Linked DNA regions of Arabidopsis thaliana. The protein of the gene in region 1 interacts with the protein of each later gene in a pairwise test. Each region holds a gene or a part of one and is shown in the gene's direction. Other genes may lie near its edges.

Region 1 (4,279 bases):
CCTTGTATTTTATAAAATATTACTTAGGAATACCATTAGAAATAGAATTTAAAGGTCCAAACTAATTCAGTTCATTAAAATAAACAAGTCAAAACTTTATTTATGCAATTTAATTATAAACCAAAAAGATGCATTTATGGGTTTAACTTGTTGACAGCTTATTTTATTCATGAATTTACGTTGAGGTTGTTGCGATTTCTACTTTAAGCAAACGGGAAACATCTCACAGTTTTGACTTGTGATCTTTTATCCTACTCTTATTGGTTCTAAAGTGCATACACGTAAGCGTATACATAAGCACTCGCATTTCACAGTAGCCAATCGATTGATTCTAATCTTTGAACATGTAATACACTTCATGGCCACTCTTTTTTTCCGGGAACTATCTTTTTTTTTTGACATGGAAAAAGACCATTTTTTGATTTATAACGTGCATACTGCTGTGTCTTTTTTCTAAATAAATAGTTTTTATCAAATATGTAATCATACTAGGGAAAATCTCATCAAGATCATACGTATTTTTGTACATGACTTTTAAATAGTATATTCGCCGAAAAATACGTTGATGTCTCGGAATTTGACGCCTCAAAAACATTAGAATATACAAAATCAAGTAACGAGTTTGTAGGTTGAAACTAAAATGCCACGTAATACAGTGCGTAGGGTCCATTCGATGTTTCTAGATCAAAGTCTACACACTATAGAGACTTCCAGATACAGATACACATTCGAAATCATCAATGAAAAATAACAATTTAAGTATCTTCTTATCCTAATGTGTGTGTGCTTTTTTTTAGTCAACTATTTTGTGTATATTGTAAGATGTATCATGTTATGACATGAGTATGTTGCTACGTGTCGTGAGATATCGAACCCAACGCAGATATGAGTATGTTGAGCTAGTTTCTTCTTATGAAACAATCATATATGTCTATAATGAATAGATCACATTATCTGCCTGAAAAAAATCCCGTATATTACTCGACGAAATATAAATACCCAATGTAGCTGATTTTGCTTTCTCTGGTGACATATCCAATTTGGCTAAATTTGTTAACTAGTCTATTATAGGTTTATAATAGATCTAGCTATGTTAAAGATACTAAAGCATCAGTTACATAAATTTTTGGCGCGAGTTTATATCTTTTGGAATTAAAAATAAGAGAATTTAAAAATAAGAAGATCATTTTGTTTGGCCACAGGAGTTCTGAAAGGTCAGGTATGATTTTTTTCTTGCTCGCTCTTATGATTTTGTTTTTATTAATGGGTTTTCAAATAAGAAAAACTGTTTTTCGAAGCCCGGTTCAGATCCATTGTTTTTTGTAAAATATAGGCCCAATTCACCATAAGTCCATGACCAAAACAAAAATAAGATAGAACCAATACTGAACCAGGATCTTCTCTCGCTTTCGTGATCAATGTCGCCAAGCTTCTCGAGATCATGTGGTCACGTCAATTGTATAAATACAATTATTGACGTAACACAATCTCTACAGTTCCATCGAAATATCTCGAAAATTTCCAGTTAATTCTGGTAACGTGAACGTATCTTCCACCTCTTCAACCTACACAGCTTTCTAGAAATTTGGCTCGCTTTTCTAAGTCCTCTGTATTTTTTTGCACGTTTTTCAACTAAGTTTCAATATGAATCATTTCTTCTATAAATAAATGATATTTTCATCAGGTAATGATACATTGTGCCGAAATAAAACGTCAATACTCATTAGTCAAATTAATTGTTCACATAATTTAAAACTGTGTTAATCCATCCAGTTATTTTCTTACAACAAAATAATCTTTTCCATCAACTTTTAAAATAATTAAACGCAGTGCTAAGAAATCTAAAATCTTGATTTAGAAATCCATTATGGTTTCTGGTCAACTGAAATCCATAATTTCCTTTAACATCCAAAATCCAAATTTGCTACTATGATAATAGATTTCAGACGATTTTTTTTCTTTTTTCAATCATAGAGTCCACACGAATATTTGCAAGTTACTATATAAAACACTATAATGGTCAACAGATAAAAAAAAGGCGAATGAAGATATGTTACGTAAAAAGAAAATACTGTAATTATAAATTATTACTTTAAAAAGCTTTAAAATCTGGCCACATGTTTTTAAAGAGTGGTGTGACGTAACGACTAGAGTCAGCACAATCCATTATTGTATCATAAATATTCTCATCTATAAATTACCTAAACCCTTACAGGTAGTGTCCCAACCAAACAAATCGAGAAAGACGAACACTTACAAAAAAAAATCTCTTTGTGAGCTTTAGCGATCGTAACAATGGCGAACGAGGTGATTCTTCTTGATTTCTGGCCGAGTATGTTCGGGATGAGGACAAGGATCGCATTGAGGGAGAAAGGTGTTGAATTTGAGTACAGAGAAGAAGATCTAAGGAACAAGAGTCCTTTGCTTCTCCAGATGAATCCGATTCACAAGAAGATTCCTGTTCTCATCCACAATGGTAAACCGGTTAACGAATCTATCATCCAGGTTCAGTACATTGACGAGGTCTGGTCTCACAAGAACCCTATCCTTCCTTCTGATCCTTACCTGAGAGCTCAAGCTAGGTTCTGGGCTGATTTCATTGACAAGAAGGTATCTTATTTCCTTTGTGCCCTTGATTGAATAATGTTGAAATTGAACTTGGGATTTCATAAAAATTGAAACTTTAGTTGAGTTTGCTAGTGATTGGCTCAAATTTAGGGTTTTGCTTGTAGACTCGTCTTTGAGCTTGTATGGGTTTGTCTGATGTTATAATATTACTTGAGTTTGTAGTTGTTAGGGTTAGAGATCTCACCTCCAAATTTCAGATTTTTCTTGTGGACTCATCTCTGAGCTAGTCAGGGTTTGTCTTCTTAGATAGTTTAATGTTATGTTACTTGTGCAATTTGAGGTTTTTACATACTAGTTTCGCTAGTAGATATCATCTTTGAGCTTTGTTTGGGTTCATCTTAGATAGTTTGATGATATGTTTCTTTTGCAATTTGGGGGTCTCTAGGACTGGTTTTGCTTTGTAGACATCATCTTTGAGCTTTGTTTGGGTTCGACTGAGTTCTGACATAGCTTGGTGTTATGTTACTCTGTGCAATGTTTCAGCTGTATGATGCTCAGAGGAAGGTGTGGGCGACAAAGGGTGAGGAACAAGAGGCAGGGAAGAAGGATTTCATTGAGATACTCAAGACTCTTGAATCTGAGCTTGGAGACAAACCTTACTTTAGTGGCGATGACTTTGGCTATGTAGACATTGCGTTGATTGGATTCTACACATGGTTTCCAGCATACGAGAAGTTTGCTAACTTCAGTATCGAATCTGAGGTTCCGAAACTGATTGCTTGGGTTAAGAAGTGTTTGCAGAGGGAGAGCGTGGCTAAGTCCTTGCCTGATCCTGAGAAGGTTACTGAATTCGTCTCTGAGCTCAGGAAGAAATTTGTACCTGAGTAAATATGTTTCTCTTGTCATATGGTTCGGACTTAAGATGCTCTCTGTTTTACTTTCGTGTGTTGTCTTTCTTAAATAATGCAGAGCATCTGTGAGGTGGTTTGAGTGTAGAGAATGTATGTCTTTGCTGTAGCAGATTCCTGTGTTTTCTGGATTTAATGGCTTGTCCTAGTTTTTATGCATTGTAACTATGAGTTTAATTAATGATCGTTAATCTATAATGATTATTAATTTGTTACTTTGATATGTAATTACGCCAATACGACTCTTCTACCTGACCAAGCTTATCACGCCAATGTTGCTGTAAAAGACAATAGTGCAGTTTGGCGATTAAAACCTCCAACATCGAGAATGGTAAGCCGGTCTGGATCTAATAAGCCCAAATTGGCATCCATAAGCCCAAATTGAAATTGGCATCCATAACTCCATATTGTAGTCAATTGGAAGTTATGTGGTTGATGTGATCATTAGTGTCGGTATGATCAGATTAGCCACGGGTTTAGTGTTTCTTGCCGAATTTGAATTCGGTAGATCAAATAACATTACTATGATCCGCACAGTTCATGGGATTTGAATTTGATTTACGATTACAACAACGATATTAACACAGAACTATCCTGTAATTTTTGGGATCGATTAGTAAATTTTAAAATATTATTTCAAAGGCTTTATATATATAAAGAATTTAGAGTATAAACATAGATAAAGCATTATGTATTTATAAATCTTATGCTGATATTGAAAAAATAATGGTGTATGTGATATATTTAATAGAGTGCAATACTCTCTCAATAAATTAGTATAGCTGTTATCACTCCTTGTGTAA
Region 2 (5,574 bases), on another chromosome or scaffold:
TCCACAGTCACACCGTGCTGAGCCAAAAATGTCTCCTGTCAAGCACTCTGAATGCACTCGCACCAGAATGTCCTCACCATTTCCAACGTTTCCCTGGTCACGATTCAGACAGAAACAAACACAAGACTGGTCTTAAATTCGAATATCCAGTTGGTTGTTCTGAGATGACACCAATGCACATTGATCAAGATTTAGAAGTAAGTCGTGATTTTGTACCTTAACGAGGGCGATATTTTCGGTTCCATCGAGTTTAGATCGATAACAATAAGCTTGGAAAAGACCCCATTTGGTAGGCAAACGAGACACTGTGATTCTCTCAACAAGCTTATCTCGCTTTCTTCGATATCTACAAGTATATAAAACTTCAGATAATTACTTGTATCCAGTGTTTTCTATCTTTTCAATACATGGTCTTCTTCTTCTCTAACCTGATTAAATCAGTCAACGATACAATGGGGATATCATGTTCCGTAGCAAGCTTTTTCATATACGGCAGTGAAGCCATAGACCCATCTTCTTGATCAAGAATAGCTGAAAGAACAGAGAGGGGACGTAAACCAGCCAATATCATTAGATCCACTGAAGCTTCGGTGTGACCAGCTCTCCTTAAAACTCCACCATCTCTGTACTTGAGAGGGAATACATGACCAGGCCTCCTGAAATCATCTGGTTTAGCATCGAGAGACGAAAGTGCAAGAACCGTCATCGCCCTGTCTGAAGCTGATACTCCAGTTGATGTTCCAGATTTTGCATCCTGTAACCAAGAACTTTATCAGAACATAGACACAATGAAACCCTCTTGAGAACTATATCCAAATCGTTACCACAGTGATGGTGAAAGTTGGAGCAGAGGAATCTTCGTCTTCCATTTCAGGTGACATAAGTGTAAGGCTTAATCTTTCAAGGTTTTCTTTCTTCATACCAACTGAGACAATACCTGAACCATTCTTAATCAGAAAAGCTATGTCTTTTGGACTCGTAAGAGTTGCAGCCATGATCAGATTCCCTTCAACATCTCCGGTTTCATCGTCAACAACGATCACAAACTGAAACATAAGTGACAATTTTTTAGTAAGACCAAATCTATACAACTGTAAAAACAGATCATCATAATCACTGGTCTTCAAGAAAATCGTCAAAGAACAAACCTTTCCTTTGCGTAGAGCTTGAAGAGCAAGTTCAATAGAGGAATAACCTTGAGTAGGACAATCTGGATCACCCTCTGCGTCACTCACGAAGAAATCATCAGTCTCAGGCGTGATTTCCGCGTCAACTGTCTCAAACGAAGCAGAATCAAACAACGACCCGTCGGTTTTCCTAACAGGATTTTCATCGAACACATTGCGATCACTATTCTCACTAGCCTTGATCTCCCAACTTGAACGACTAACCAATCTCCAGCAAGTATTAGCAAACCTAGGAGAACTATACAAGCCATTGATGAAGCTGTGAGCGAAAAAGATTCGAGGATGATATAAAGCAGAATCCATCATCGACGTAATGAAACATATATCTCTCTGCTCGTACGATTCGCTGCTTCTCGTCTCTTTGGAGTTGTTCTCAACACAAAACCAAAATCTGAAAATTTTAAAATTTCAGACATATTTTTAAGGTTGGAAGGGAAAAAAATCACGACCACGAGTTTAGGATTTATCTTCTTTCGTCGTCATCGTACTAACTTAACTGGTGTTTCTCATGGGCCACACATGTTGATCATGAAGAACTATCACATAAACGGAAACCCTCTGGGTCCTTTAGAAGGTTTTGACCTTTGTCTTATTGCTGACGTGGCCTATACTTGGAAAACATCAACGAACACAACTTTAAAAAGGGCGGAAATAAAGGAATTGAGAGAAAGAGGACGGTGGAGGAGCAAATCGGATCCAGACGGAGAAGTCGCCGGAGAACGGTTTACAAAAGGAGCGTGAGAGAGAGACAGAGACAATTTTTCTCCGATCTCACCGGATCAGCCGTTGTACTCTTACCAATCCGTCGTCTAGCTTGAAATCTCCGAGCTCAAAGGTGTGTTACAGTCACTAGTCACTGTGATTTCTCACGCTTACATTACAAAATCGGAGCTTGTATTGTGTGATTAGATTTGGTTCATTAATGGTGGGTTTTGTGTTCAGAGGTGGATGGTCCATGGCTGAGCCAGAATTAGTAAACGGAGGAGTGAAAGAGAACAAATTATGGAAAGGTGTATTCGCAGTTTCCGGCATTATGTCTACTCTTGTAATCTACGGTGTTCTTCAGGTCTGTCTTGTTTTCATGATACCATTCTCTGTGAAATGTCTCCCCTTTCTTACAAATTTCTTTTGTTTTGTGATTGTGGTTTTGTAGGAGAAGATAATGAGAGTTCCTTATGGAGTGAACAAGGAGTTTTTTAAGCACTCTTTGTTTCTTGTTTTCTGCAATCGGCTTACTACATCAGCTGTCTCTGCTGGTGCTTTACTGGTAAACTAGCTAAAAACACCAACTTTGTGTTTATACTTATTTGCTAAAGTTTTATGTAACCCTTTTTGGCTTTTCTTTTTTAATTTGTAGGCAAGCAAGAAAGTTTTGGATCCTGTAGCTCCGGTTTATAAATATTGCCTTATATCAGTGACTAACATCTTAACTACAACATGTCAATATGAGGTTGGATTTTTATTTTAATGTATGAACTTTGTATGCCTACTTTTTGCTGCTTATTGCTTTTTGCTATCTGTAATGCCTCCAGGCTCTCAAGTATGTGAGCTTCCCTGTCCAAACTCTTGCAAAGTGTGCCAAAATGATACCAGTAATGGTAAGTTTTTCAGAGCTGGAAACTCATGCCTTTGAGTTTAGCATCCACCATTCTTATATTTGTGCTCTATATAGGTGTGGGGAACGCTCATTATGCAGAAGAAGTATAAGGGCTTTGACTATTTAGTGGCTTTTCTGGTGACCCTTGGCTGCTCTGTCTTTATTCTCTTTCCGGTATAAACCTCTATACCCAATCAAAAGCTTCGGTTAGTTAGACTATCATATTTACCATGAACATCATGTTTGTTTATGTAAACCTGATTTGTAGGCAGGAGATGATGTTAGTCCATACAATAAGGGAAGGGAAAATACTGTTTGGGGTGTTTCCCTTATGGCTGGTTATCTTGGGTATGTGTATCCGTGTTACTTGTTTTATTGTTTATGCGAATATACTGAAATTTTTGTTGTCTTGTTTTAAAACAAGGAATATTGATTGTGTATATGGTAATTGGCTCACTAACAGGTTTGACGGCTTTACAAGTACATTCCAAGACAAGCTCTTTAAAGGATATAACATGGAGATACATAACCAAATATTCTACACAACACTTTGTTCTTGTGTTTTGAGTTTCACTGGTGAGAATCTTATTTGTTTCTGGAACCTATACTGTTAGAGTCGCATCATTTTCTGTCACTGTCATTTTCTATGGACATTGGACCATTAATCGTTTTCCCTGGTGGGTGGCTGGTCCTAAGAAAATTCTTTAGGAAGAAGACTTTTCTCTTCTTTTTTTCTCTTTATTTGTTTACTTTAGTTATATATCTGAGTTCAGTTTATTTTGACTGTTAGACCTCTGGAATGAAAATTGATTCAATCTTCAGCTGATGACTACTAGGCTAAAGTGAGGTTTTATGTTAGTGATATCAACATGTCATTAGTCGCAACTATTTTAAGTTTCCTCTGTTTCTGAATGTGTCTCATAGTCAGAATTCATCTCTTCTGCATAAAAGACCTCAATGCTTAGACCCTCAAAAAGAAGATCAATGTGGTCAATCATTCTCTGTTCTTACCATTATGTAAATCTTATGGTTGATGTAGGACTTATATTGCAAGGGCATCTACTACCAGCTGTAGATTTTGTTTCTCTGCATAGGGATTGTTTACTCGACATCGCTCTGCTTTCCACAGTAAGTTTTAAGCTTCCTCTATTCTTCTACTTAGTAAATGCATTGCCATGTCGTTTCGACCAAATTAGTTTTAAGATCCACAAGATGCATGCATGTATATTCATAAAACAAATCCATAAATCTATAATCCGAAACAAAAGGCTTTGATGACGTCTCATGATACAATCTTCCTGTCTTGTCTTTGTTTACCACTGAACTTACCAGAGACTAATAATGTGCAGGTTGCAACAGCGAGCCAGTTCTTCATTTCTTACACAATTAGGACATTTGGTGCTCTAACATTTGCTGCAATCATGACGACCAGACAGGTAAAAAGAAAACTCGATCTCAGTCTGAATAATCTGTCTTCATAACTGACAACACCGTCCGATTTCTAATCCGACTAATCTGTCTTTTAATAAAGCTTGCAAGCATCATGCTCTCATGCATTTGGTTTTCTCATCCTCTTAGCTGGGAGCAATGTATCGGATCGGTACAGTTTCGGTTCCTTCTACATTGTTCGGAACTTTATATTATACTTTTTGATTCTTGACTAACCAAGTTTGCTCCATCAGGTCATCGTTTTCGGGTCTTTATATGCGAAAAACTTACTGAACAACAAGAAAAATTCACAAACGCAACCACCACCTCCAGAACTTCCGCAGTACGAAAAGGTTGAGAGCTCTTAAGAAGAAATATAACACCAGTTAAAGGTTTTTGCGCTTGATATAACCCTCAGAAGTTCAGAACAAAAGAAAACTAGCCGTTAGGAAACTGAAACTAGGATTTATATACTCGTTGTATTTGTCTCATCTTTTTAAAAATTTTGTTGGATCTCGCGTAGAGTTGATTATATATCTATATTATGAGTAGTGAGTACATGTGTTTCTTGTTTGTTAGTTGATCGCTAGACGAAAAAGATTGATGACAATGAAAATGTTATACTTCTGCACAAGTTTGCCTAACCAGATCAAACCGAAATCATTTATTCCGAGATCAAATGGATCATTATTTGTGTATACTATCTAAAACAAAAACTGAATCCAAATTTAAGTTAACCAAAAACTAAAAAAACTGATCTCAAACCTAAATTTATGTAAAAATAAAAGAAGATTATAGTTTATATAGAATTTTTCTTTTTGAGTTGGTGCAATTATAGATACCACAGCTGAAAGATTAAAAAAGTAGTTGTAGTTGGTTAGAATTTCTGATGTAAGCCTTTGAGATATCCCGATTGACTTCCAACAGCAAGACTTTCCCTTTAATCACTTTTTTCTGTTTACTTTCAAATGTACCAATTTTGTATTTTTAGTATTTTAATATTCTTCAAGAAATTTTAGCAGTATCAAAATGTACCTGGTCATCATCAGAAGAATAATTCAAAGAAGGAAAGAGATTGATCTGGTAAATATCATAATAAGGTCTTGTATTACATTTTTAAAAAAATGGCGATGAGTATCAGTCCTTTATATATAGTGGACTTATTCTTCATTCCTAAAACATACTTGAATACTTCAAAGGAAGAGATATATTCATATATAACCCTAAAGAAACTTTCATTAAGTTTCAAAAAAATAACAATTTGGTTGTTAAGGGTAATCATTGAATAGTTAGCTGATTAACTACTGCATATACAAAGATTATAACTTTCTGCCGGAACTGAAAATAATTAATCAATTGTGT
Region 3 (5,690 bases), on another chromosome or scaffold:
CACTCATTTGAAAAAAAAGTAAGACAGCCTCAAAGCCAAATATAGCTACCTAACATTTAGTACAGTCACAAGCTACTCACAAAACAACCATATTTCTCTATTTCACTAGAGCTTAGACCATAAAGCACACGGATTAAAGGAAAACTAATGAGAAGAGTTATGTTAAAGAGTGATAATAAACTCAGCAACATAACCAGTATTACTCCAGAAGGTCTAAATTAATATGGTTCTCAGGGTTTAATACAACTTTAGAAGCAAAGTTCATTTAAAAAGATTGTATTGAATTTACCTTCCAACAGTTCCAAGGTCTCTATCTTATCTATGTTTTGTTTGTTGTTCTCACTTCATCGTAGAGTGAATTTGAAGAAGCAAACTGGCGAAATGACAAACCAACCTCTGCTTAAACCCTGCAGATCAAATCAATCATATGAAATTATAAATCACTACCTACCAAAGGAAAAAGGATAAACACAGAACCAATATGAGACTAATATTCAAGCTGATGTGAATGCTTGACCATGGCATTATTGGTATGAATGATGGGATTGTAAGAGCATTCACAAGTCACAATGATATATTCATTTGATTGAAAATGAGAATATAAGAAACTGCAGAATAACAATGAAGACGAAATCATTCAGAAGAACAAAAGATGATAATTAATAAATATTGATTAGCTAACCAACCTGATCGATGTAAAAACACTCTCCCGGGCAAACCTCTCGGCGTTTTGCCTCTAAATTGATTCTTAACGACAATAAAATGGGTAACATACAAAAGATACAGATTCCTTCACGGTTTCAAGACAAGTCCGGAGCTCGAGAATGAGAAGAGGGGAAAAAGGCTTTAGAGTGACTGAGAGAGAGAGTCGTAGGAGAGGAGAAGAGAGTAATAAATGACAGAGAAGGGTGAGCCTAGGGAAGTTCAAAGGACATAGATTTACGTAAATACCCTCATGGTAAAGGGACATTTACACCGACATTGCTACTTTACTCCAAGAAACGTCGAAAAGGAAGTAGGGGTGTTCTCGGTATGTCAGGGAATAAGATGTTCAGACAGAACGCAAAATCACACGGTTTGGGTTGGGAATGAAACTACTTGGAAGCTGTTATTGCGTACGTACGCGAAGACCGGTCCGTCCGGTATGAGTGAGATAGATGAAAGACACGTGGCAAATTAAAAAAAAAGTGTAACCATTTCCCACATTCTCCTGAAAACGCTTTCTATTTGTTAACCCTTCTTTAGTTCCGTATTTAACTGCCTTGATGTTTATTTAATCAAACGAGAATTATGTAAGTTCATTCTCTATAAGTTCTTTTGTTTTTAAATAAGACTCTTAAATGTTGAACAAAAATAAAATAAGACTCTTAAATTATTTGTCAAGTTGCATAAAAGACAGCTGAATAGCAGTATTAGCTTTCACTAAATACGTGAAGCAACTCAATAAGTACAGTTGTCCTATCGATGAAAGCAAAATCAAGATTGAAAATTGCTAAGTCCAAAGTTTGAATCATCTTATAAGCAATAAGTAAACCAAATTAGTCTTGGTGGGCTTTAAATGCAAACTTTATAAATATAGAAATCGTGAGAATACATCATTCCAGTTATATTTGTACGAGTTATGAATACAATGCACTGATGCAGTGATGGAGTGGCATATGCATGTAATTTTATCAGTTAGTACAAAGTGAGTTAATTGTCCGTGTTTAACGGAAAGTAAAAAGCTTGAGAGACAATTCGATTTCAATTTCAAACCAAGAATTGAGAGCTATGAGCCTATGAGAGTATGGATTTGATAAAAAGGATTTTCTCTATTCACGACTATTCTTGATTTTTTTATTATGTATTAACGACTATTCACATACTATAAAGTTGCATATAATTTATTTACCTTATTTTGAAACAGACAAGAAAAAGGTATTGATGCGATTGGACATGTCGTAGAAGTGCTTCTGATCTGATCGGCTTTTTTTTTTTTGTTTCTTTACTTTAGTTTTGTCTTTTAGTATTCAAGACTTCTAGTGGCCCAGTGGCAGTGAGTATAAAGGATTTAGCACTCACTAAATGGGCGTATTGAAAGGTAAGAACCTTAATGGGCCTATTATAAGGCCCATAAAAAACACGAGTAACCCAATAAGGTAACTTTATGTTCGTTACACAATTTCTTTTCTTACTTTCAAAAAAGAAAAGAAAAAAATCTGTTGTCATCTGCAAATTGGTTTCATTCTATCAGTTGGTGTTGTGGTGTGTTGGAAGATGTGAATCGCCTCTACTAGGGTTCGATTCCAACATAAAATTGTACTTTTGGAAGATACAGAGAAAGAGATGGGCAAATCTCAGATTCTTCTAAACGCTGAGAGCTTTACTTGTTCTTCTTTCAATACTTTCTTCACTTTATGGATCTTCTTTACTCTTCACTCCTTTCCATTTCAAGCTCAAGCTGCTCCTTCTGGTAACTTTACCATACTTAACTTCGTTGCTTTGATCTATCTGCTTCACTCACTTTCTTAGTGAATTCACTCTTCAATTTCTGGTTTTTTATGTCAATTGTTGTAAATTGAATTTAGGTTCCTTGATTAAGCACATGTCATCGGTTCTCAAGTGGACTACTGGATCATCCTCTAAATTATCCCAATCAGGTAAATTCTCAATTAGTACGACTGAATTTGGTCGCCTTGATTGTTTGTTGTTCATAAACTTGGTTTTGATGTTTCTTTCTCTAACTGCTACTTGTGGTGCAGACACTAATGTTCTTCAGTTTGAGAATGGTTACTTGGTCGAAACTGTTGTGGAAGGAAACGATATTGGTGTTGTTCCTTACAAGATTCGAGTTTCTGATGATGGAGAACTTTATGCTGTTGATGAACTTAATAGCAACATCATGAAAATCACTCCTCCCTTGTCTCAGTGTAAAACTTCGTTCTCCACAAGTTCTCTTCTTTATGACTTAGTTTTTGCAGTTTTAAGTACATCCAATCATATACACATGCCATCGCAGATTATACTTGATACACTAACGATACTACTGTGATCTTTTGATGATCTTGGCTTGTAGCATTACATTTTCTATTTTACTTCAATATTCTGGTTCTTTATACTATATATGAAACATTTGATTTTCTCTTTCTTTTTTAGTGTTGGAGGTTTTTATGACTTTGTTTATAATCTATGTACTTGTGGGCAGACAGCAGGGGAAGATTGGTGGCTGGATCTTTTCAAGGAAAAACAGGGCATGCAGATGGAAAACCGAGTGAGGCTCGTTTTAACCATCCGAGAGGCGTTACAATGGATGACAAAGGGAACGTTTATGTCGCTGATACTTTGAATCTCGCCATCCGAAAGATTGGTGATTCAGGTATACAAGTTTTCTATAGGTTTTACTTACATCAGCACTCAAAAACTGAAATGGTTGCTTGTTGTTGAAAAATATAATTAAACTGAGAAGAATTGTGTTCTTAAGAGTCTGAAACATTTTTGTTACAGGTGTTACTACGATAGCTGGGGGAAAATCAAATATAGCTGGGTATAGAGATGGGCCAAGTGAGGATGCAAAGTTCTCAAATGATTTTGATGTCGTATATGTTCGGCCTACCTGCTCGTTGCTGGTCATCGATAGAGGAAATGCGGCTCTTCGCCAAATCTCTCTCAGTGAAGAGGACTGTGACTATCAAGATGATAGCTCAATCTCTCTAACTGGTAAGAAGTCAAAAACACCTCTTCCCACTACATAGATCATTTTGCATACACTCTGTTTAGGGGTGGATTTGAGAGTGTTAACAGAAGATCATTGCGTGCTTACATTCGGTGCAGATATACTCTTGGTTATTGGTGCTGTTCTCATTGGTTATGCTACTTGTATGCTCCAGCAGGGCTTTGGAAATTCTTTCTTCTCAAAGACGGTAAATTTCTATCTCTTCTCTTTCGTGCCTTTTCGCTTCTCATCAACCATATGCTACAAACAACAACAATTTCTGTTTTATCTTACAGCAGGTAGGATCAGAAACCAGCTATGAAGAAGAGCATCCAGGAAAAGAGAAACTCTCCCGGCCTGTCCATGAGAAAACAATAACCAAGGAAGAACCTGGTTGGCCATCATTTGGGCAACTCCTTACTGATCTCTGCAAACTTGCTCTCGAGTTTATAACCAGCCACCTAGTTCCAGCCCGATTCCAAACCAACCCCAATCTAAGGCCATTAAAAGATAGACTCATAATGCCTGAAGACGAACAAGAACCACCTCGAGTCCAAAGGCATACTGCCCCAGCACCAATCTCAGAATCCCGACATGCTCACTTACCTAAAGCTGATGATAGTTACCCTGAACATAAGACGCCAAAGCTAAGATCAAGTAGTGTAATGAAGGACCCTACTTTGTCATCATCCAAGCACCATCGGACATCATCAAAACGGCAGGACTATGCTCAGTTCTATGCCTCGGGAGAGGTTGCCCAACCGAAGATCCATAAAGAGCGGTCAAGGCGTCGTCATAGAGATAAAACAACCGAGACAGAACCAAAGCCAACACCATCAGATACGGTGAAGCCTGTGGAGTACAGTAATAGTTCAAAGTTTGATCATTACAACATGAGGAGCAGCAAGTATGGACCTGAAACTCCATTTCGATTCTAGAAAGTAAAATCACATACTCATTAGAACCCTTTTCTGAGTATGTTGTGCCCTTTCTTTTGTCCTTGGTTTGAGGAGATTCCTTATGTTTTCTTTTTGTTAGTTACTAAGAAAATCTTATTACACAGATGATGAAAAAGAGGTTAAAGGCTTTTCTTGTAACGAAGGATTGATGAATCATGACTGAAAATCTGATGTATTATGAACTTATACGATCACAAGAACAGGCTCTTCGTTACTAACTTGCTATTAACACATTCTTGCTTGCTATATATAGATCTTTGGCTGCTAGAGATAGGTTCCTTGCTAACCATGGTCCTAAGAAAGTATATATAATTGTAAAGAATCTTAGTCAAAAAAAAAAAAAGGAAAAAAAAATGAAGGGCCCTACCGGGTTCGAACCGGTGACCTCTTGATCTGCAGTCAAATGCTCTACCACTGAGCTAAGGACCCTTTTGTTCAACTCATGATACATTCATTACAAAAATATTAGGTGCTCATGATAGAACAGAGTAAAATCTATGTGTTTGGCATGGAGATAAAGAGAGTACGAATACGAATATGATTTTTTAAGATCGAATTTGATAATAACTTGACTTCATTCATACGAATATGATTTTTTAAGATCGAATTTGATAATAACTTGACTTCATTCAGTTCCATTTTTATAGAATTATTGTAGAGATTTGGTTGAAACTTTAATAATTGGAATGTGCTTTGTTGACAAACTATCGATCAGTTGAAAAACGACCTTACTAAATGAATTAGCTATAGAAGTTTTGATCTATACAGTTTCATATTGTGTTCACTTACACTACACGGAGGTAGGGTTTAGATTAATTATTTTTCTTGATCATTCGATTTCTTTAATTCTAATAACCTATGTATGATTACAAAATTCAGAAACGGACCTTTTATTCAGATTTAAATGATCAATCACAATAACAAATGCTATAATTGATGTTTCCGTATTTTATTTCTTTTACTCAACCATATAATTGTAAAGAATCTCATTCCAAGTATCCGGTACCCCAGAGAGACACCAGTGGCTGCAGTCACCGGAG
Region 4 (4,421 bases), on another chromosome or scaffold:
GAAGAGAGACAAACCCAATTCCACGAGTGCCGCCGGTGACAAGAGCAGACATTCCATTGAGAGACCATCTTTCCTTGGAGGTAATGGCAATGGAACTCTGTGATGCGTAAGGGACGAAGACGGAAGAGGAAGAGGATTTGTGTTTAGGGTTTATGCGTTTGAAAGAGAGGCATAAATGAGGTTTAAGGGAAGAAGAAGAAGAAATAAAGTGAAGGTTTTGAGGTGGATTTGTGTACAAGTGAGAAGCCATGTCAAGCACCATTTATGCAGAGCAGAGTTTATGTTTCAGCTTTTCAAATGAGTCAGAGTCACCTTTATGCGAAGCATGGTTCTGATTGGTTTAGTGACGATGACGACGTCATCATTGCGGCAAATTTTAAATTACTGTATATATATCTTATAAACTTTATAAAATATCCATAAATTATTAGACACATTTATAAACTGTAACAAAAAAAAAATCATAATCAATTTCTTTATTTAAAAAATAAAATAAAGCATTTCAATATTTTAGTAGGGAAGATATTAGTTAATATCATTAGAAAAAATAGAAAAAAAAAGGAGAAAATGCAACAAGAAGAAGAGAAAAAAAAAAAACTCTAATTCATTAATTTTTGCGGATTAACTGGATCGTTGCAGTTTTTTGCTTTATTTCGATAAATGAACAACAAAAACAAAAGTCCATAAAAAACTTAGTAGATGCATAAACTAACCATAGAGAAGTCGATAAATGTGATGCTCTATTAATACATGCGAGTACGGAGTATCTATTGAAGAGGTACAATACTACAATTAAATCACAAAGTTTACCTTAGACCAAAAAGAAAAAAACATATAGATTAGTAATATATAGATTGTTAATATAATATTGTATGTTGGTGACAAAATAAATTGCCTAAGTTTTGGTTAGAAAATAGAAATACTTTAACCAATATAAGCAGATTACCTAAGATCATTTTTGTAAAATGGAAACTAATTATTTTATGTTTTGAGAATTCTTCGTTCGTAAACAATCTTTGTACTCTTCTCAGAAAGTTGATATATTTTTAAAAATTCTTTGACTCTAATCTAATGATGTTAATTTGTACATTGTATTGTTGTGATTTCTTCGTTTATAGAATATATGGAACTCTATCTGACTACATCTACATATACAATTTTGCATGAAAACTTCTCTAGATTTTGTAATTATTTATTTTTGTACAAGTTTTCAGTGAGAACAAGACTAAGATTTGAATGGTCAAGTATTCTTCTTCTTCGTTTACAAATTGAATTTCTTAGTTTGACAACGTATGTCTTTATAATAATAATAAAAAAAAGTTAGGATATTTTTTTATTATAAATATTCATATTTAAAGTTAACACTTTAATTTCAAGGAATGTTCAATTGTTCATCCATTTTTTATTTTTATATTGGATATATAGTGGCTAAAAGCCTAACATAGCAACGCCTTTTATGCGACATATAGTTGATAATTATTGCAAGTTTCCTCCACAATTTCTTCCTAATACAAATAATTGCACAATTACAAGACTCAAGAGAAACCTTTCTATTTGTTTGTATCACATAGTCATAGTGGATAAACGTCGATCGTTAGGCAGTCAAAATTATATGTGTAACAAAAAAAAAGGTGATTCACCCTAAAGGCTAGCTAAAAGATGACGTTTTTTTTGTTCAATAATTTTTGATCCATTATGACTTTGTAATCACATTTAAATTATACAGAAAATATGTAACCATTTTCTTGTTTATTTTGCAATCAATTTTATTAGGAAGAAATTGTGGAGGAAAGTTCGAAAGAATTTTTCAAGGATACTAATATAAAGGTTTGCAAAAAAAAAAAGGGTTTGTTTAGCAGTTTATATAGAAAGTCAAATCTTCAACTAAGTTTGTTTAACTTGTCAGCATAAACAAAAAATTTGAATATGAATGTGTCTTGAGCTCTTTGAAGCTATAAAAAGATAGCATTGAACATAGCTAACATCAAAATCTGAAAACTATCAATGGCTAATACCTATAAATCGATAGCTGTATCAATAATCTTCCTACTATACTTTTCTTGTGTCTCAAGTCAACAACAAACCAAATTTCTTAACCATGGCTTTCTGGAAGCTAATCTCCTCAAGTCTGGCTCGTCCAAGATCCACCCGAGTGGCCACTTGGAGTTGACAAACACTTCGATGAGGCAAATAGGTCAAGCTTTTCATGGCTTTCCCATACCATTCTTAAACCCCAACTCCTCAAATTTGGTATCTTTCCCCACAAGCTTCGTCTTTGCCATCACTCCAGGACCTGGCGCACCAGGCCACGGCTTAGCTTTTGTCATTTCACCCTCGCTGGACTTTAGCGGGGCCTTACCAAGCAATTATCTAGGCCTATTCAATACCTCCAACAATGGAAACTCCTTGAATTGCATTCTTGCAGTTGAATTCGACACTGTGCAGGCCGTTGAGTTGAACGATATTGATGATAACCATGTTGGTATAGACCTCAACGGAGTGATCTCCATTGAGTCTACCTCCGCTGAATATTTTGATGACCGAGAGGCAAAGAACATAAGTTTGAGGCTGGCGAGTGGGAAACCAATAAGAGTCTGGATCGAATACAACGCAACTGAGACGATGCTCAATGTCACATTGGCTCCTCTAGATCGTCCGAAGCCAAAGTTGCCTCTTCTCTCTAGAAAACTAAATCTTTCTGGGATCATCTCTGAAGAAAATTATGTTGGATTCTCTGCAGCCACGGGAACTGTCACGAGCTCACATTTTGTGCTAGGCTGGAGCTTCAGCATCGAGGGGAAAGCATCAGACTTTGATATCACGAAGCTTCCCTCTCTTCCAGACCCGCTACCTCCATTGTCTCCATCCCCGAGTCCTCCGGTTTCAGTCATGAAAAATTCGAGTAACACGATGCTGATCATAATCATTGCTGCATCAGCAATATTTGGAATCTTGATCTTAAGCTTCTTAGCGGTTTGCTTTTTTCGTAGAACGGAAAACTTCACCGGAGGCGCACGGAAATTCTCCCACCAGACGATTTCCAGCGCGACGGGAGGTTTTGACAACTCTAAGCTTTTGGGAGAGGGAAACTCTGGGAGTTTTTATAAAGGGCAACTTGCTCCTACAGAGATAATTGCCGTAAAGAGAATTACTTGCAACACAAGGCAAGAAAAGACAGCCCTAATAGCCGAGATCGATGCAATCTCCAAGGTAAAACAAAGAAATCTTGTTGATCTACATGGTTACTGCAGCAAAGGAAACGAGATCTATCTTGTTTACGAGTATGTTATCAATAGAAGCCTAGACCGGTTCTTGTTCAGCAACGACCTACCAGTTCTCAAATGGGTACACCGGTTTTGTATTATAAAGGGTATTGCGTCAGCACTTCAACATCTTCACGCTGAGGTTCAAAAACCTCTCATACACGGAAATGTCAAAGCAAGTAACGTTCTTTTGGACGGAGAGCTAAACGCTCGACTAGGAGACTATGGACATGGAAGCAGACACAGCACTACGGGACACGTTGCACCAGAACTAGTCAACACGGGAAAGGCTACATGTGCCACAGATGTGTTTGAATTTGGAGTGTTAATCATGGAGATTGTTTGTGGAAGGAGAGCCATAGAGCCGACAAAGGAACCGGTAGAGATCAGTTTAGTGAACTGGGTGCTTCGAGGGGTCAAGAGCGGAAATCTCTTAAGGAGATGCGACAAAAGAATCAAGAAAAAGAATTTAGTCTCTGAAGAAGTGTTATTGGTTCTGAAAACAGGACTTCTCTGCGTGAGACGATCTCCAGAAGATAGGCCAATGATGAAGAAAGTGTTGGAGTATCTCAACGGTACAGAACATCTCCCTCATGATGACTACGTCGTCTAAAAGAGGAAATGGCTAACGATGATCTCGAAACGCCGTTGTACAAATCAAGATTGGACCCAAGATGCATAAGCATGATATGAATAATACATAGAATAACTTTTAAAAATGGAAATAAGAATTTCTCGTTTTGAGAAATTAATTTCATTAAATATTATCTTCGATTAAACAATCTTCGTACTCTTCCGAGAAAATGAATATTTTAAAATATTTGTGTTTGATTTTAAATTCTAAATGATGTTTGTTCGTCGTTTTAGGATAACTAGTATGTATTGTTAAAGAAAAGATAAGCAAATAAATAGTATTGTTGGCAGACTTTTCTAGCCCTTTCATTGTAATTTCAATTATCTTTGTTCACCAGTAGATTTTTATAGTAGCAACAAAATCTAGATTTCTATGGAATTTGGGTTCAGTATAGATTTTTTTTTTTTTTTGTTAAAGGGATTAGTTTAGATTTTGGATTGGATTCACCTGGTTAATTTAAAAGAAGGGTATATGCACTAGATGACCATGAAATCAATAATAATATAGAAACTAACTATGAGTCT

The links.
Region 2: the proteins of GSTU19 (region 1) and AT5G59740 interact in a protein complementation assay, tested with the Arabidopsis thaliana proteins (one large-scale study listed by BioGRID).
Region 3: the proteins of GSTU19 (region 1) and AT3G14860 interact in a protein complementation assay, tested with the Arabidopsis thaliana proteins (one large-scale study listed by BioGRID).
Region 4: the proteins of GSTU19 (region 1) and AT2G29250 interact in a protein complementation assay, tested with the Arabidopsis thaliana proteins (one large-scale study listed by BioGRID).

The regions. Positions count from the first base shown.
Region 1 is NC_003070.9:29,485,836-29,490,114, reverse strand, and holds GSTU19 (glutathione S-transferase TAU 19), read left to right. Parts: upstream 1-2,107; 5' UTR 2,108-2,295; coding exon 2,296-2,610; intron 2,611-3,111; coding exon 3,112-3,456; 3' UTR 3,457-3,728; downstream 3,729-4,279. UniProt on the Arabidopsis thaliana protein: Catalyzes the glutathionylation of 12-oxophytodienoate (OPDA). In vitro, possesses glutathione S-transferase activity toward 1-chloro-2,4-dinitrobenzene (CDNB) and benzyl isothiocyanate (BITC), and glutathione peroxidase activity toward cumene hydroperoxide.
Region 2 is NC_003076.8:24,069,316-24,074,889, reverse strand, and holds AT5G59740 (UDP-N-acetylglucosamine (UAA) transporter family), read left to right. Parts: upstream 1-1,803; 5' UTR 1,804-2,022; intron 2,023-2,129; 5' UTR 2,130-2,142; coding exon 2,143-2,253; intron 2,254-2,340; coding exon 2,341-2,454; intron 2,455-2,544; coding exon 2,545-2,637; intron 2,638-2,719; coding exon 2,720-2,785; intron 2,786-2,859; coding exon 2,860-2,958; intron 2,959-3,052; coding exon 3,053-3,132; intron 3,133-3,247; coding exon 3,248-3,360; intron 3,361-3,823; coding exon 3,824-3,912; intron 3,913-4,133; coding exon 4,134-4,220; intron 4,221-4,315; coding exon 4,316-4,384; intron 4,385-4,466; coding exon 4,467-4,580; 3' UTR 4,581-4,841; downstream 4,842-5,574. Other genes in the region: RIBA3 (monofunctional riboflavin biosynthesis protein RIBA 3), read right to left, coding at 1-93, 217-346, 429-754, 825-1,493. UniProt on the Arabidopsis thaliana protein: Sugar transporter involved in the transport of nucleotide-sugars from cytoplasm into the Golgi and/or the endoplasmic reticulum.
Region 3 is NC_003074.8:4,997,530-5,003,219, reverse strand, and holds AT3G14860 (NHL domain-containing protein), read left to right. Parts: upstream 1-2,173; 5' UTR 2,174-2,325; coding exon 2,326-2,452; intron 2,453-2,567; coding exon 2,568-2,639; intron 2,640-2,741; coding exon 2,742-2,909; intron 2,910-3,184; coding exon 3,185-3,355; intron 3,356-3,483; coding exon 3,484-3,696; intron 3,697-3,810; coding exon 3,811-3,899; intron 3,900-3,987; coding exon 3,988-4,629; 3' UTR 4,630-4,916; downstream 4,917-5,690. Other genes in the region: TBL41 (TRICHOME BIREFRINGENCE-LIKE 41), read right to left, coding at 5,609-5,690.
Region 4 is NC_003071.7:12,578,364-12,582,784, reverse strand, and holds AT2G29250 (Concanavalin A-like lectin protein kinase family protein), read left to right. Parts: upstream 1-2,004; coding exon 2,005-3,876; downstream 3,877-4,421. Other genes in the region: AT2G29260 (NAD(P)-binding Rossmann-fold superfamily protein), read right to left, coding at 15-262.